Callithrix jacchus: one gene and its partners. The protein of the gene in region 3 interacts with the protein of the main gene of each other region in a biochemical or structural test. Links are inferred from orthologs where the notes say so. Each region holds a gene or a part of one and is shown on either strand. Other genes may lie near its edges.

Evidence for each region. The genes of interacting proteins can lie anywhere in the genome.
Region 1: of the proteins of MAPT (region 3) and GSK3A, one has a biochemical effect on the other in vitro, tested with the Homo sapiens proteins (4 studies listed by BioGRID and IntAct). The link is inferred for Callithrix jacchus from reciprocal best matches to the Homo sapiens genes MAPT and GSK3A.
Region 2: of the proteins of MAPT (region 3) and PPP2CB, one has a biochemical effect on the other in vitro, tested with the Homo sapiens proteins (2 studies listed by BioGRID). The link is inferred for Callithrix jacchus from reciprocal best matches to the Homo sapiens genes MAPT and PPP2CB.
Region 4: of the proteins of MAPT (region 3) and CSNK1A1, one has a biochemical effect on the other in vitro, tested with the Homo sapiens proteins (2 studies listed by BioGRID). The link is inferred for Callithrix jacchus from reciprocal best matches to the Homo sapiens genes MAPT and CSNK1A1.

What each region holds. Positions count from the first base shown.
Region 1 is NC_133523.1:37,269,660-37,273,794, forward strand, and holds the start of GSK3A (glycogen synthase kinase-3 alpha), read right to left. Parts: upstream 2,809-4,135; 5' UTR 2,644-2,808; coding exon 2,361-2,643; intron 337-2,360; coding exon 149-336; intron 1-148. UniProt on the Homo sapiens protein: Constitutively active protein kinase that acts as a negative regulator in the hormonal control of glucose homeostasis, Wnt signaling and regulation of transcription factors and microtubules, by phosphorylating and inactivating glycogen synthase (GYS1 or GYS2), CTNNB1/beta-catenin, APC and AXIN1.
Region 2 is NC_133514.1:31,978,068-31,982,211, forward strand, and holds the start of PPP2CB (serine/threonine-protein phosphatase 2A catalytic subunit beta isoform), read right to left. Parts: upstream 2,809-4,144; 5' UTR 2,395-2,808; coding exon 2,293-2,394; intron 1-2,292.
Region 3 is NC_133506.1:86,721,000-86,724,510, reverse strand, and holds part of MAPT (microtubule-associated protein tau), read right to left. Parts: intron 860-3,511; coding exon 1-859. UniProt on the Homo sapiens protein: Promotes microtubule assembly and stability, and might be involved in the establishment and maintenance of neuronal polarity.
Region 4 is NC_133503.1:48,239,712-48,243,729, forward strand, and holds the start of CSNK1A1 (casein kinase I), read right to left. Parts: upstream 2,809-4,018; 5' UTR 2,301-2,808; coding exon 2,178-2,300; intron 1,528-2,177; coding exon 1,421-1,527; intron 1-1,420.

The DNA.
Region 1 (4,135 bases), on a different chromosome or scaffold from region 3:
CCATCTTCCACAGGTCTCATTTCCTCTTTTCCCCCTTTCCCTTCTGAACCATGGCTCTGAAACCCAAGCCTTCAGCTGTCTGGCTAGGGTTCTCCCACCAGTCATGCCCAGTTCCCAAACCTCCCCATCCCCATCCCGCCCAAGCTACCTTGAACCTCTTGTCCTGGAGAACCTTCTTGATGGCGACCAGTTCCCTGGTCTCTGCCAGCCGTGCCTGGTACACGACCCCAAATGAGCCATTGCCAATCACTTTGATGTCTGTGTAAGCCACCTCTTGGGAGCGCTCTGGGCCTTGGCCTAGAGTGGCTACCACTGTGGTCACCTTCCCGCTGTCACCTGGGGAACAAAGGGGATACACGATCCACTGACCCATCCTGTCTGCACATCGCCCCATCCTGGGGCTGTGGGAGGAAGGGAAATCTCCACAGGAAGCTTGTTGGGGACCTCTTTGTCCCTTCCTCCTCTTTGAGGAGAGGTGGATGCTGGAACTTCCCAGTGACTTTTCCCCTCTTCCTTTCTGGGAAACTTAAATCCTGCCTCTCCTCCACATGGGAGGATATTGATACGTAAACCTCTCTGCTTCAAGGGTTGTCAACCCCAAATTTCTACTTCTAGGAAGCAACAGATCACTGGTCCATCTTGGTACTGGGAGACACCAGATGTTGACTCCATCCACTCTGATCTTCTGCCCTCTGGCCCCTCATATTTGGAGAAAGCTTGACTCAACCTCATCCACTTAAGGGAGCAGAAACCCTGAGTTACTCCTACTTTAGGAAAGCACTAGTCTTTCTCACAGCCTAGAGGATACTGACCTCTAAGTCCTCCCCTGTAGAGCTGTTAACTTCACTGGTTCTTGGTGACAGAAATGAATGTCCTCTCCTGGTATACGTAGCAGTGCCTTGACCCTCACTTTTTGGTACTTTGAGATTAGAAAAAACACTGACCTGACCTCTTCATCTGTGTGGTCCACAGCCCCAGACCCCTCCCTGTATGTGGGTGGTCCCTAATGGACAAGTACCAGATTATGAGAATGATAAACCTGACTTCTATTATCAAGGGGCTAGTCCAGCCTCAGTCCTTTGAAGGAAAGCTACAATTCTCAATTCCCATTATTCAGATGGTAGCAAACCCTGGTGCCATTCTTAGGGGTCTTTGAATAACTGATGAACCAAATCCTTTTTTTTTTTTTTTTTTTGAGACAGAGTTTTGCTTTTGTTGCCTAGGCTGGAATGCAATGGTGCAATCTCAGCTCACTGCAACCTCTGCGCCCTGAGTTCAAGCAATTCTCCTGCCTCAGCCTCCCAAGTAGCTGGGATTACAGGCGCCTGCCACGACGCCCAGCTTATTTTTGTATTTTTAGTAGAGACGGGGTTTCACCATATTGGCCAGGCTGGTCTTGAACTCCTGACCTCAGGTGATCCATCCACCTCGGCCTCCCAAAGTGCTGAGATAACAGGCGTGAACCACCACGCCCAGCCACCAAATCCATTTTGAGGGGCCAGAGACATGTTCTTTCAGAGGGAGATAACCCTACATCACTATTTTTTTTTTCAGAGCCAATGACACCATACCCTAGAACATTTATTAAAGAAGTAAAACCTTAGATCCATAGTCTATAGGAAACTGTGAACCACCCTGCTCCATTCCATTTTTGTTAAAGAAGACACACCAAGCCATGTATTTTAAAATATGGACTATGGACTTGGTTTGAAGGATATGCTGACTCCCAATGTCTTTATATCGAAGAAGCAATACCTATTAATTCTCACCACTGGGGTACAGCTCAACATATTTAGGGTGGGTAATGATGCCAAGTCTTGATGTTAATAGGGAAGATGATCTGAGTACCAGGTTTGGAAAGCCCTGGCCCTATTTTTTGGGGACACAACACAGTAACCTCAAAGCCCTGATTTTAAGTGATATTCACTCCAAATCCCCATCTTCTGAAGGACAGCAAATGCAGATCCCTCTTTTTCGGGGTATTGTCTTATTCCTGTTCTCTTAGGAGACAATAGCTCCCCATTTGCAAGCGACTATGACCTCTGATCCAGTTTTCTAATGAACAGCAACGTAAGATACCTGTTCTTAAGGCTCAAGGGCCCAAGACCTCAATAATGGAAGAACACGGACTTGTAACTCGTTTCTTTAAGTGTTAATAATTCTGATCCCAGAGTAATTCTGACATCCAAGAGATGGTAACCCCAAGACCCCTTTTTCTGGGAGGGAGAGGGCTCGGATCTTCGGTTTAGGGAGGCACAGTGACCTCGAGCTCCTATCTAAGCATATGAAAGAACCTGACGGATGTCTGAGGAGCTTTAGGAACCCTGATCACCACCTACACAGGCGCCGCTAGTACTCACGGCCCAGCTTCACCCCGGGCGGCGGGAAGCTAGTGCCTGCGCCGGGGCCTCCGCTGCCTCCTCCGCCGCTGCCGCCGGGTCCACCCCCGGAGCTCGATGCCCCGACGCCCCCACCCATGGCCCCGACAGACGTCTTCCCGCCGCCGGTGCCGCCTGGGCCGGAGGCCGAGCCTCCTGGGCCGCCGCCGCCGCCTCCGCCTCCGCCGCCTGGCTCCGCAAACGAACTGGTCCGCGCCCTGCCCGAGCCCCCAGGGCCGCCTCCCGAAGGCCCGCCGCCGCTCATGGCGCCGAGCGCAGGCCCAGGCCGCGGGGCTCGGGCTGCCTGGGCTGCCCCAGCCGCCGCTGCTGCCGCCGCCTCCCCCGGGCTCTGGCCTCTTCCAGGCCGCGCCGCTCGGGCTTGGGCTCCGGCTCCGGCCCAGCGCCCGCCGCGGGGCACGCCGGGAGATGCAGTCCGGCTGTCGTCCGCGCCGCCGTCACCGCCCTCGGCCCGCACGGAGAGCCGCGTGGCACGCCGGGAAATGAAGTCCACAAAAGCCTCAAAGTACCACGGGAATGACAGGTCGCGCTGTACGTCGGGAAATGGAGTCCAGGGTAATCTGGCAGCCGACTGTACGACGGGGAGCCCTGAAGGACTTTGGGAAGCAGAGAGCCTGATGCCGCTGGGAAACGGAGTCCACTCACTCAGTCTATTGGTTGTGTATGCGTCCCAGAGCCCGGTGCGCTCTGGGAAATTGAGTCGGCGCGCGTGAACCTGCGGCTCTCCGGCCGTGAAGCAAGCCGGGAAATGGAGTCGTCGCCACGCCCTCACCGCATTGCAGGTGTAAAGAGATTTTTAGAGCACGCCGGGAAACGGAGTCCCAGTTGGTTTCCAAGCCCCAAGTGGCTACTGCAGTTCCGGAGATCGGCGAGGAAATGGCGTAGGTTTCGCGCTCCCCTTCCCAGGTACGCTAGGCCGCAGTACCTGCCGGGAAGTGTAGTCAACACCAAGGCTCTTAGAGCAGTAGCCACAGAGAGCCCTGGTGTGTTCTGGGAAATGAAGTTCCAGGCATCCTCCCCATTGACTGAGGGGGCGGGATCGCCTAAGAGTTCCAAGCGTGCTGGGGAATAGTCCAGACCTGACCTTTTGTAAGGCCAGTCTGCAGAGGCTTGCCGGGAAGCGGAGTCCAATGGCGACGATTGGGGGCGTGTGAGCAAAATTTAGAGGCTGCAGCAGTTCCCTGGAGAGACTTAAAAGTGTTTCAGCGCCTTCTTCCTCGCCCCAGGTCCTTCTTTACGAAAAAGCCGAGGTCGGTCAAGGACTGCTGGAAAATGGAGCCAAGCACCTTTAAGTTCCAGGTGATCATAGATCAAGAAAGAAAAAATGTCCCCTCTCTTGCCCCCCCACCCCCACAACTGTGCAAAGGATTCAGGAAAGAAAGTTTTCTGCGGTTTCTCAGAACACGAGCCGTCGGATACAGTCTAGCTTTTCCTAGCAATGTGGTTAGCACCAGAAAGCTTATTGGAACATTAAAAAGATTGAAATATAATTTCTGGGCCTGGCGAGATGGCTCACGCCTGTAATCCCACCACTTTGGGAGGCCAAAATGGGCGGATCACCTGATGTCAGGAGTTCGAGACCAGCCTGGCCAACATGGCAAAACCCCGTCTCTACTAAAAATACAAAAATTAGCCGGGCGTGGCGGCGGGTGCCTATAATCCCAGGTACTCAGGAGGCTGAGGCAGGAGAATCGCTTGAACCCGGGAGGCGGAGGTTGCGTGAGCCGAGATCGCGCCAC
Region 2 (4,144 bases), on a different chromosome or scaffold from region 3:
CTGATTTATTTAGAAGCCGAAGGAAAAAAAAATCTCTTTTGACAAATACAGAAAGTTTCACAAGTGATTGACACTCTGGTGTGATTATTTCAAGGTATAGTAGTGGTACAATATTCTTCTCTAGGAGTTCATCTTAAAATTATTAGAAAGTCAATGGGGGCTCTGCACAGGGTTCACGCCTGTAATCCTAGCACTTTGAGGGACTGAGGTGGGCGGATCACTTGGGGCCAGGAGTTCCAGACTAGCCTGGTCAACATGGCGAAACCCCATCTCTACTAAAATCAGCGCATGGTGGTGGGCACCTCTAATCCCAGCTACTCGGGAGGCTGAGGCAGGAGGATTCCTTGAACTCAGGAGACGGAAGCTGCAGTGAGCAGAGATGGCACCACTACACTCCAACCTGGGTGAGAGAGTGACATTCTGTCTCAAAAACAAAACAACAAAAAAAGAAAGTCAATGGGAAAAACAGATTCAAATAACACTTTGCCCATAACTTCAAGTCTGCATTCTGATGTTCATAGCAAGGTTAACTGACTCAGCTCATTTCAAACCTGTACAATTCACTTCACATTAGAGCTTGAGAAAGATATTTAAAGTATAAATTTTAAGACACAATAAAATGAATGTTTACTGAAGCCACAAGTAAGCAGTTTGTTTCAGAAAAAGAAAAATACCACTTGCTTGGCACTTCTATTTACAAAAATAAATTCTTCGGTGTTAACCAATAGTTACTTAATACATAAAGGTCTCAGGCAACATTATACCCGTTAAAAACACTATTTTAACTTAACACTATTAGTGCTTCTTTTCTAAGTAAATTTCATGATTTTAAGAATGTCCTAAAATAAGACTAACAAAAAATTGTCCTTTTCTTGTGTATTTCTGCAATATCATGATTTCTAAGCGTTATGGTTAAAAAAAAAAAAGTACAGATTATGTTAAAAATAAATAACCTCGTTACTTCATGGACTTCAAGTGGGAATTTTTAACATGAAAAATATTTAGTCCATCTTATAAAGGATAAATGTGGAAAATTAGACTTTAAAGATGGAGAGATGGAAATGATTCCAGGGGTTAAGACAACAAGGAATATAGTATTTATAAAGTGAAGATCACTTTACAAACTCATGAACGATGTACAAGAAAGAATTGACCACCTGCAGGCGTTATTCTTCGGAAAAGAAAAAACTTTATATTAAAATGGAGAATAATTGTCTGAAAAGTGCTATCATGCGTGAAAACGCACACCCCACCTCATTTCCAGCAAACACGGTTCCCAAACTCAAGACCCGCTCTCGTTTAGGAAAATCAATGCTTTACTTCCAAGAGCGAGTGAAGGCAAAGACCAGTCACCATCTGTTTCCACCAAAGTCAACCTCTATTTTAAAAATCGCAGCTGGCCATCACGCCTACCTCTCCACAAACAAACGCTTGACACATTAAAGAGCCAGTAATTTTTTTTTTTTTCTTTTTTCGGAGACAGGGTCTTGCTCTGTCGCTCAGGCTGGAGTACAGTGGCGCGACTTCAGCTAACTGCAGCCTCCACCTCCTGGATTCAAGCGAACCTCCGGCCTCAACCTCACGAATAGCTGGGATTACTGGCACCCGCCACCATGCCCCACTAATTTATTTTTTATTTTTTTTTTTGTGGAGACAGGGCCTCACTATGTTGACCAGGTTGGTCTCTTAACTCTTGGGCTCAAGCAATCCTCCCGCATTAGCCTCCCGAGTAGCTGTGACCACAGGCGTGAGTCACAGCACTTGTGAGTGATTTTTGAGGTGCCTCGTTCGCCTGACAAAAATTCTACATTAATTAACAAGTTCATTAGTAGGTACGACATTCTGGTTAATTTTAGGTGCATTTTCAGAGACAGCATTGCTCCTTTTCGGACGCCGCTCTCGGTAGCCCACTCGGGACATGCTGGAGTGGCAGGAACTCCCCAGGGGAGCGCAGGCAACCTGACCAACCTCAGGCTCGACTCCGGGGGGCGCGTTTCCCTTTCCGTCCACACCCGAGCCCCCACGCCCGGGATCTGGGCCGCCGGCCGCGGGCGTGGGGCGTGTCAGCGCCGAGGCAGAGGCGCCGGGCGAGGGCAGTCCAACGCTCCGGTCCCTGACCGGCCGGGCCCGCCGCCCGAATGGAGGCCGGGGCTGCAACCCCGCAGGCCCCCGGTGGGCCAAGCCGGGCCGGGAGCGGACGGGCCTGGGACGTGCAGGAAGGAAAGCGGCGGCCGCGGCCCATCCCAGCCCCGCGCTCTCGCACTCCCGCACTCGCCCCCGCGGCGCCCTCACCTTCTCGCACAGCGTCCGCACTTGGTTCTCGTTCAGCTGCTTACACTCGTTCAGCTGCTCGACCCACTGGTCCAGCTCCTTGGTGAACGCCTTGTCGTCCATGGCGGCCCGATCCCGATGCGGATCCCGAGCCCCTGCCCCGCAGCCGCCCTCCCCCCACCCCACCCGCCCCCGGCCCCGGCCCGGGCGCCGCTCCCCTCTCCCTCCGCCGCCGCCGCCAGATCCCACTGGGGGAAGACAGAGCTAGGGAGGGCGGCCGCGGGCCCCGCGCCCCGCCCAAGCCCAGAAGGCGGTTCCGAGCGCGCGGCCTGGAGGAGACCCCCGCCCGCCCTTTCTCGCCTGGCCGCGCGCCGCGCGAATAGGTGAAGGACGCGGGGAGGTGCCGGGGAGCGCGCCGCGGGTTCTCGGCCAACTCCCGCTGGACGAAGGCCGTCCGCCGCCACCTCACACCCGCCGGCCTCTACAGGCTATCTTTCCCCTTCTCTCGCTCTTTCTCTCCCCTCCCTCCAGGTTTCCGTCATCGCTCGGGCATTTCCGCCGGGAAAAGGCGAGCAGGCGGCACCGCCCGCCCACGGCGCACTAGGAGCAGAACAGCGCCCTCGCTTGGCCTGGCGGAGAAACGGTCTGAGGAGGCCGGGGTCCCTCCTCCTTTCTCAACCCTGCCCCAGACCAAGCTCTGCTGGTTCTCCCTTCAGATAGACTGATCTCTGGGAACTTTGTCCTCACTTTAGCTTCCTGCAGTACTTTTTCAGTGCTCTGGACAGGGAATTGGAAAACTTGGGCTCCCCTTAACATTGTTCCCCCCAGAGTCTAGCACTCAATAGCAGGCATTCAATATTGATGGAGTAAATAATTGATTATTTACAGCCGGGTCTGTAGTCCTAACATCTCGAATCCTTCCCTTCAACATTAGAAAAGTGAAATGGTTGTTCTGTAGGATAATCTGTGGCCCTTCCAGCTCTAGCGTTCTTGACTGCGTTTTCTGCAATATGTACTGAGGTTAATGATTTGTTCATTCAACAAATATTTATTGAGACAGAGGAGGGACCCCTTCTTAGGGGCCAGCTAGGCACCCCCCTCCCCAAGTATGGAAAGGAAAATCTTGAGTTCTCTCAAGGGACATTCCCGGCACCTAACTTCCTCGAGAAGTCAATGAGCAACCTGATAAGCAAGAAGGTAATAAAAGCTTAAGGCAGTAACCAAGGACGTTAGATTCACAAAATGTTTGGTTCCTTAAAGAAACTAAAGAGGACGATGTCCCTGAGTTGTTTTTTAGAAACCTGGACCCTCACCAAATGGAAAGTGCTGTCCACTGGCATGGAGACTTCAAACTATCTATCTTTGTTCTAAATTTCTTACTGAGGAGCCTGGAAAAATTCACAAAGCTTTGCCTCCTTAACCAGTTGCAAATCATAAAATCTTTGAATCCATCTATGACCTGTGGGTCCCTGCTTCAGATATCTTGGCTTTTTAGATCAAATTCATGTATAGTCTCCATGTATTGATTTATGACTTTGCCTGTAACCTCTGCCTCCCTGCCTTTAAAAACCCTTACCTGGGCTGGGCACAATGGCTCACGCCTATAATCCCAGCACTTTGGGAGGCTGAGGTGAGTGGATCATCTGAGATCAGGAGTTCAAGACCAGCCTGGCCAACATGGTGAAACCCGTTTCTACTAAAAATACGAAAATTAGCCAGGCATGGTAGCGGGCACCTGTAATAATCCCAGCTACTCGGGAGGTTGAGGCAGAAGAATCACTTGATACTGGAAGGCAGAGGTTGCCCCATGAGCCAAGATCTCACTATTGCACTCCAACCTGGTGACAAGAGTGAAAAAAAAAAAAAAGGAAAC
Region 3 (3,511 bases):
ATTTCTACGTGGAACGTGAACTCGGGGGGCACGTCCTGCCCTTCAGCCAGCCCTGCACTGGGCCCGTCAGGCTCTGAGGCCGGGGTCTCTGCAGAAACTTTGGAGAGGAAATCGACTGGGAGGGGGATGGTGCCTTCTGCTGGGAAGCCTGGGACACTGGTGGCTTCTCTGGTGAATGTCTGGGGAGGTGGTCCATCTCGGACTGGGGAGACCTGGGAGGGAGGGGAGTCCTGTGGGGAGGACTCATCAACGTCTCGGTCTTCATCCACCTCCTTCTCGTCCCCCGGCCTCTCTTTGCTCCCGGTCCCCTTCAGTGGCAGCTCCTCCGGGTGCAGATCTCCCAGAAGCTGGCGCTTCAGCAGCTCAGGGGCATGGCAGCCACCCTTTGTGTCCTCAGGTCCTGTCCCCAAAGGCTGGTGTGTGGCCTCTCTGCGGCTCTCAGGCAGGAAGGGAGCCCCAGGCATGCCAGACACGAGTTGGTGGCTCAGGCTTGGGGTGCCTGGCTCTCTGAGGAAGCCTTCCTGGACCATCTTACCACTCTCAGGCTCCATGTGGAGATATGCAGGGGCAGCGGGCTTCAGAAAGGCCGGACCCTCCTCGGTCCAGTTCCCGCCTTTTGGTCCCCACTCCTGGGAGGGCTCCTGAGGGCCTCCTGTTGGAGGAGGTGCTGGGCAAACAGGACGGTGCTGAGGAAGGCTTGCAGTCAATGGGACAGGAACTTCCGACTTTTTCTCCCTCAGGCACGGCCCAGAGACCCCAGGGGCCACTCTGCAGGGTCCAGGCTGGACATAAGCGCTAAGCTCATTGACCCGGGGCCTTTCAGGTGCCTTCCTCTGCTGGCCCGGAACTCTCAACTCCTCTGGTTTGAAGAGGCAGCGATAGCAAAAGGTTAGCAAGGTCACATCAATTGCTTAAGAGAGGGAGCATCATCCTGGACAAAATGACATTGAAAGGGCATCACAGGTCCCCTGACAAAGAGATAGGAGCATGGCTCTGGGCTCATCTCATTGCCTTTGGTGCTGGGAATGACAGCTCTCCTGGTCTAGCTGCCACCAGCTCGCTGGGTGGCACTGGGTGAGCCCCTGCCCTCTCTGGGACTGTCACCTCATCTGTAAAGGGGAGTCTTGGATGTGGTGACCTCCGAGGCCCCTTCTGATATGGGTGTTATTCCTCTGCCTGTGATGGGCTCCAGTTGGGCATAGAGTATGTCACACATCTGGAGCCAGCCTAGGCTTAATCACTGCGAAAGCAGGAGAGCTACAGAAGTGTCTCCAACATTCTAGAAAATCTGAGTGTCCCAAAGATTCTAGCCTCTAGATGGTACCTGGCTTGGGTGTAGTGAGACTCCCCTTTCCTCTCCCTACCTTTCACTCTTCCCCCTGCCACCTTTTTTTTTTTGATACATGGTCTCACTCTGTCACCCAGGCGGGAGTGCAGTGGTGCAGTCGTGCAGTCACAGCTCAGTGCAGCTTTAAACTCCCGGGCTCAAACGATCCTCCCGTCTCAGCCTCCCGAGTAGTTGGGCCCACAGATGCACGCCACCATGTATGGCTAATATATTATTTTTTATTACTGTAGAGATGGGGTCTCCTTATGTTGCTCAGGCTGGTCTTGAACTCCCGGGCTCAAGCAATTCTCCTGCCTTGGGGGTTACAGGCATGAGCCACCATATTTGACTTCTGCTCCCTTTTTTGGTAAATGAAACGAGTGAAACCGGTGCCCACAAACTCTACCTCAAGCACAGTGTCTGACAGATTCGGAAAATCCAAAATGTGTGATCGTCAAGAACGAAGTCTTTACCGACTGACCTGCCACAAGACTCCTCAAAAAAGAAGACCCATTCAGATCTACCGGGGCCACTGACCGCAGACAAGCCCCCTGCACAGCTGAGGTCAGCCCGTTTGGGAGGAAGGGCTCTGCACGGCAGACAGTGATGGCCCTCAGGACCACCACCGTGCCCTGGTCACACAGCTTGCTGCTCGCCAATCCAGCTGATTAAGGGCACACTTCATTTTTTTCTGGCTCATTCATGTGACATTCATTAATGTGGCTGCGTGTTAAGAACAGGAGGATTACACTCCTTGGTTCTCCTAATAAGCACCCTTGATGTTTTTTTTTTTAACTCCCAACTCTTTGAATACCCCACCTTGTCCCAGTACAACAACATGCAACTCAACAGCTCTGCTTTAAACAAAACCTGCAGCCCTGAAGGATTTGGGGGCTTGGAAAAGAAAGAGATTTGGATGAGGCGAGGGAGGAAGGTGCAGTCATGGACGCACAGGTAACACGTGGGCCTGACCCAGTCGGAGACAGGGTGGTTGCCATGGCCTCCTCCCTGACAGGCCCGGTTCCAGCGCAGCAGCACCTCCAGCCTGACGCTGGCCACGCTTAAAGCTCCTGCAATCCCTGTTCCTACATCCACCACAGTGCCTGCCACATGGCAGGTGGTTAAATCAGTGGATCCTGCGCGAATCAACTGGTGTCTCTGCTTCTCACAGGCTCTGTAGGTGTCTTATGGGAGACCTTGATCAGTCTCCGGGAAGATCAGCCAGAGGCAACCCTGAGCCTGAGCGTCAGGACTGACCAGAGGCAGGGGCTGCCCCTACGCCACCCCGACGAGCCAGGTCTCCACTGCCTTCTAGAAGACGCTTTCCTCCTGGAGTTTACTACAGTGCTCTTGACTGGGATGTTACTGTACTCTGATATAATACAATACTTTAAGAAACACCATTAAAAAAAGAGACAAGGACCCCAAACATAAATAGCAAATGTTCCTTGAAAAATCATGGATACAGGATTGTACTCTGTGTGTGTGTGTGTGTGTGTGTGTATCAATGAGGAAACTGACATGATCAATTACACCCCTGGAGGAAGAAGCCAGGTTAGGAGAATTTTTTTTTTTAAGACGGAGTCTCACTCACTTTGTCGCTCGGGCTAGGGTTCAGTGCCATGATCTCAGCTCACTGCAACCTCCACCTCCCAGGTTTAAGCAGTTCTTTTGCCTCAGTAGCAATTCTCTTGCCTCCTACTCCTCCCGAGTAGCTGAGTAGCTGAGATTACAGATGTGTACCACCTCACCTGGCTAACTTTTGTATTTTTAGTAGAGACAGGGTTTTACCACATTGGCCAGGCTGGTCTCGCGCTCCTGGCCTCAAGTGATCTGCTTGTCTTATCCTCCCAAAGTGCTGGGATTACAGACGCAAGCCACCGCACCCGGCCTGGTTGGGAGAATGTTCTATTGATTTCCTAGCATGCTAGGTACTCAGTAAATATTAAATGTAGCAATTCCTAGGGGTTAGAAGGCGTTCAAGATAAATGAGTATTGTAAACACAGTAGTCCAGGTAGGTTAAGCCCCCATGCCCTCTTCAGGAGGCCTGGTCTCCCGACACTTACAGAAGAAAAGTCCACCCCTCGTATATAGGCCTTCCCATATCTTATTCTCAACACACTGCAGCTCTATCCTCAAACACCTTATTCCATTTTGCTAATAGGTACTTTATCCCTATAGGA
Region 4 (4,018 bases), on a different chromosome or scaffold from region 3:
GTCTCTACTAAAAATACAAAAAATTAGCTGGGCGTGGTGGCACCAGCCTGTAGTCCCAGCTACTCTGGAGCCTGAGGCACAAGAATCGTTTGAACCTGGGAGGCACAGGTTGCAGTGAGCAGAGATCGTGTGACTGCGCTCCAACCTAGGTGGCAAGAGCAAAAACGCCATTTCAAAACAAAAACAACAACAACAAAACAAAAAAAGAGGCTCCAGTAAACAGTAAATACCATTCTCAACTATTCTGAAAATTTTTGCAAATTTTTTTTTATTATCGCTGGAAAACAGCTGGGTTTTAAACTACATTTTAGTCTCTATTCCATGAAGAGGCTCTTTTAATCCCTAAAGTCAAAACATTACTCTAAAACCCTCAAGAGTTGACGGAACAATGTATTTCTATCTCGTCACCTTGTATCCTCATTACCACTATTTGTATCCACCAATATTCCACACCAAAAAAGGCCACAATTTCTCTGATGTTAAAATTTACTGATAAACTCAACAGGTTAAAATTACTTATCAAAGTGTGGCTAAGTGATTAAGCTCTCTTTTAATAAAACTGAGCTGAGTAAATTTTAACATGGTGGTGCTCAAACTGCCTCTGCCACTATCTATACAAATTTAGTTTGGACTGAAAAGTGACAAACATGACCATTCACTAAAGGAAAGAGTAATTAACACTTTTAAAAGAACTACAAAGGATTTTACATAGTATAATTCAACAATTTCGTATCATATCTGCTGACGAGATCACAAACATTGTCACTATGCCATGTCCTTCCTGGAACCCCACTGGCTCCTGCAGCTTTATTCTTGACTTTTTCAAAGGTTTAAACCACTTGGGGCTGCTGAAGGAGGTATCAAGGAAGCATAATTTGTGAACCCAAGCTGAGAAAAGGGCAGGAATATGGGGTTGAGTCACGTCGTTCCGCCATTTTCTAAGCGGAGGAGGAAGACATGTTGGAACAAAAACACAACAAAAGAGCAGCCATTTCCCAAGCCAGCTCCAATAGCAACCCGAAATGACACTGCCCTGTCGCTTCGCCACCTTCAAATCCACTTCACTGAGCAAACCTCTGAACACCAGACATGCCGCCGTAAAAAAGGCAGCAGTCAAACCTTCCGCGTAGAGATCAAAGATGACCTGCACACTTTACTGCAAATGAAAGCCTCGGGAAGAGGGAGAAATGACGGAAGCGAAATGGGACACAGTGTAATACAATGAAATTTTAAACTAAGTTAGCAAACTGAAATTTACTCAGTGATTGCGATAACTGACTTACAGGAAGCCACTAGCTGTAGGGAACCCAGGTAACTGAAACACCAAGACCTGGATTCAGCTGGTCTCCTTACCTGCCTCTACCCACTTCCCCATTCCGTGCTTCCCTCAGCAGACCGCCTATATGCACAGGGTTCTTACCGTATGTGGGGGATGCCAACCCCACCTTGAAGAATCTTATAGAGCTTGCTCTCGTACAGCAACTGGGGATGCCTGGCCTTCTGAGATTCTAGCTTCACTGCCACTTCCTGCAGGGGAAAGAGGGATGATGGCATCAACATCCCTACGGATTCAATGTCACTTAGGAAAGGAGGGAGAGACATTAGCAAAACTCCAAGTCGCGACTACAGGGAAAAAGCGAAAGACTGGAAAGAGAAAGCTCTCTGTAATTATAAAATGAGGCAACCAGCCTCTTCAGGGGGTAGTGACGAAATCCCTACCTCTTCTAAAGTGCAGGAAAATGATTCATCCAGAAAAAAAGAGGCAACCTCTGAACGTAATGAGAGGTTTTTAAGGAACTAGGCGATCGGAAACTGTTCTAATTGGAATAAGAGGCCAGCAGAATTAAAAATAAAATAAAATAAAAGCATGGGAATCACAGAAATAGGATTTTGCCGTTTCCACCTTAAAAAACGGTTAAAAAAAAAAAAGTTCAACTAAGGGACATTTATGGGACGTGTTTAACAAGCTGGGAACCTTCCCCAACCTTTCTATCGGGTTCTTGATCCTTTTAGGGAAAGAGCGGGGGAGGTTCAAAAGCCAGGAAAACTAGCTCTCTGGACTCCCTGACGAGTGCGTGCGGTGGGGAGAGGCCCAAGCACTTTAGGGGTGCGCGGTGGTGGGGGCGGGGAATGAGGAAATGCCCAGCGTTATCGTCAACCCTACCCCAGGTGATTACCTCGCCGTTGGTGATGTTGATCGCCAGATAGATGTCCCCGAAGGAGCCAGACCCGATCTTCCGTACCAGTTTGTATTTCCCTCCGACAATGAATTCGGCCTTGGAGCCGCTGCTGCTCGCCATCCTGAGAGACGAAGATGGAGGCTGGGGCCAAGCCCCGACACCTCTGAGGGGAAGACGGAGACCTCTCGAGCTCCTACACCGGGCAAGGCTACGGAGGAAGGCAGCAGGAAACGGAACACAGAGGCCTTTACCGGCGTTCGGGGCCCAGAATCAGCCGAGGGGAACCTGATCACCACCGCTCAGTCAGGTTTCTTTTTGCCAGGCCGCACTTTGTGAAGGGCTTCTCGCGGCTACCAGGCTGGGCCACTTGTTCTCGTTGGCGGCCGATGCCTGCTTGAGCGGCGACGTCGCGGGCAGGAAAAGGGGCGCGGTGAGCTAGGGCGGCGATACCACTGCCAGCACTGCTGCTGGCTCCGGCCCGGAGGGACCCCTGTCACTCCGCCGACGACGCCATCTTGTTACTCCAGCTCCAGCCAACACAAAATGCCCCCAGTCCCCGGGAGCCGCTTCTTCACGGCGCAGAGCACTCTGGGAAAGGGATCTCGGGCGCTCGCTCCGGAGGATCTGCAGCCAGAGGGAGGGCGGAACCGGATCCGTGAGAGTCGCGGCCCACGCTCCAAGCGTCACCTCGTCACCGCCCAGCTGCGCATGAGCACTGTAACTCCTGCTGACTGCGCAGGCGTGCCGCGGCTGGTACTCACCCCGCCCCAGGCTCTCTTCCACTTCCGGTTGGCGGCTGTTCAGCCGGTGCTACCTGTTACCACGGACCCGCCCGGACCCGCCCGGTCTCTGGAAGGCTGAGTGGCCTCAGGCACCGATGTCAGGGAGAAGTCACCTTCCCGTTTCCTAACAGATAAAAGCTTCAGGCCTCCTTAGGAGTTTGGTATTGACCTTTGCTCTTTGTTTCAGGAGGTTTTTTTTTTTTTTTTTTTGAGACGGAGTTTCACTCTTGTTACCCAGGCTGGAGTGCAATGGCGCGATCTCGGCTCACCGCAGCCTCCGCCTCCTGGGTTCAAGCAATTCTCCTGCCTCAGCCTCCCGAGTAGCTGGGATTACAGGCCCACGCCACTATGCCCAGCCAATTTTTTTTTTTGTACTTTTAGTAGAGACAGGGTTTCACCATGTTGACCAGGATGGTCTCGATCTCTTGACCTCGTGATCCACCCGCCTCGGCCTCCCAAAGTGCTGGGATTATAGGTATGAGCCACCGCGCCCGGCCTGTTTCAGGCGGTTTTTAATCTTTGATCTTCTGGCCGCTCCCCCCGACCGGCCTATTGCAACCAAGTTTCTGTTTGGAAAGAGGCTATCGCCTCTGGTGGAGAAGAAGAGAAAAGCAGCCCGCGTATCGGGCTGATCGAATCGTTCAGGGCTCTCGGTTGTAGCAAAGCCCAGCTAATTACCCTTCATAAATAGAACTGTGTTCTCTACTACGGAGTGTTAGAGACCCTGTTTGCTCAGGAGGGGAAAAAAGAAGCCGGAATCCTCCTACCGTCCTTTGTCTTTGCATTATTGCCCCACTACCACATTTGATCTTCATGAGAAAACCGGGTATCTTGCCATAATGAAGATTAGTAATAGGTGGAATCAACAGAAAATTAACAAGAGTGAAAAAACTGTTCTAGCCCTCCTCCCAATCCCACCAAAAAAACGAAAAAAAAAAAAAGAATCATATGTTGGTCATATGGAAAACCTCAATATTAACCTTAACATATAGCAGAGGTAACTGTCGCAAAACATAATTGACAACATTTAAAACCATATGGTAGCCAGGGGCACGG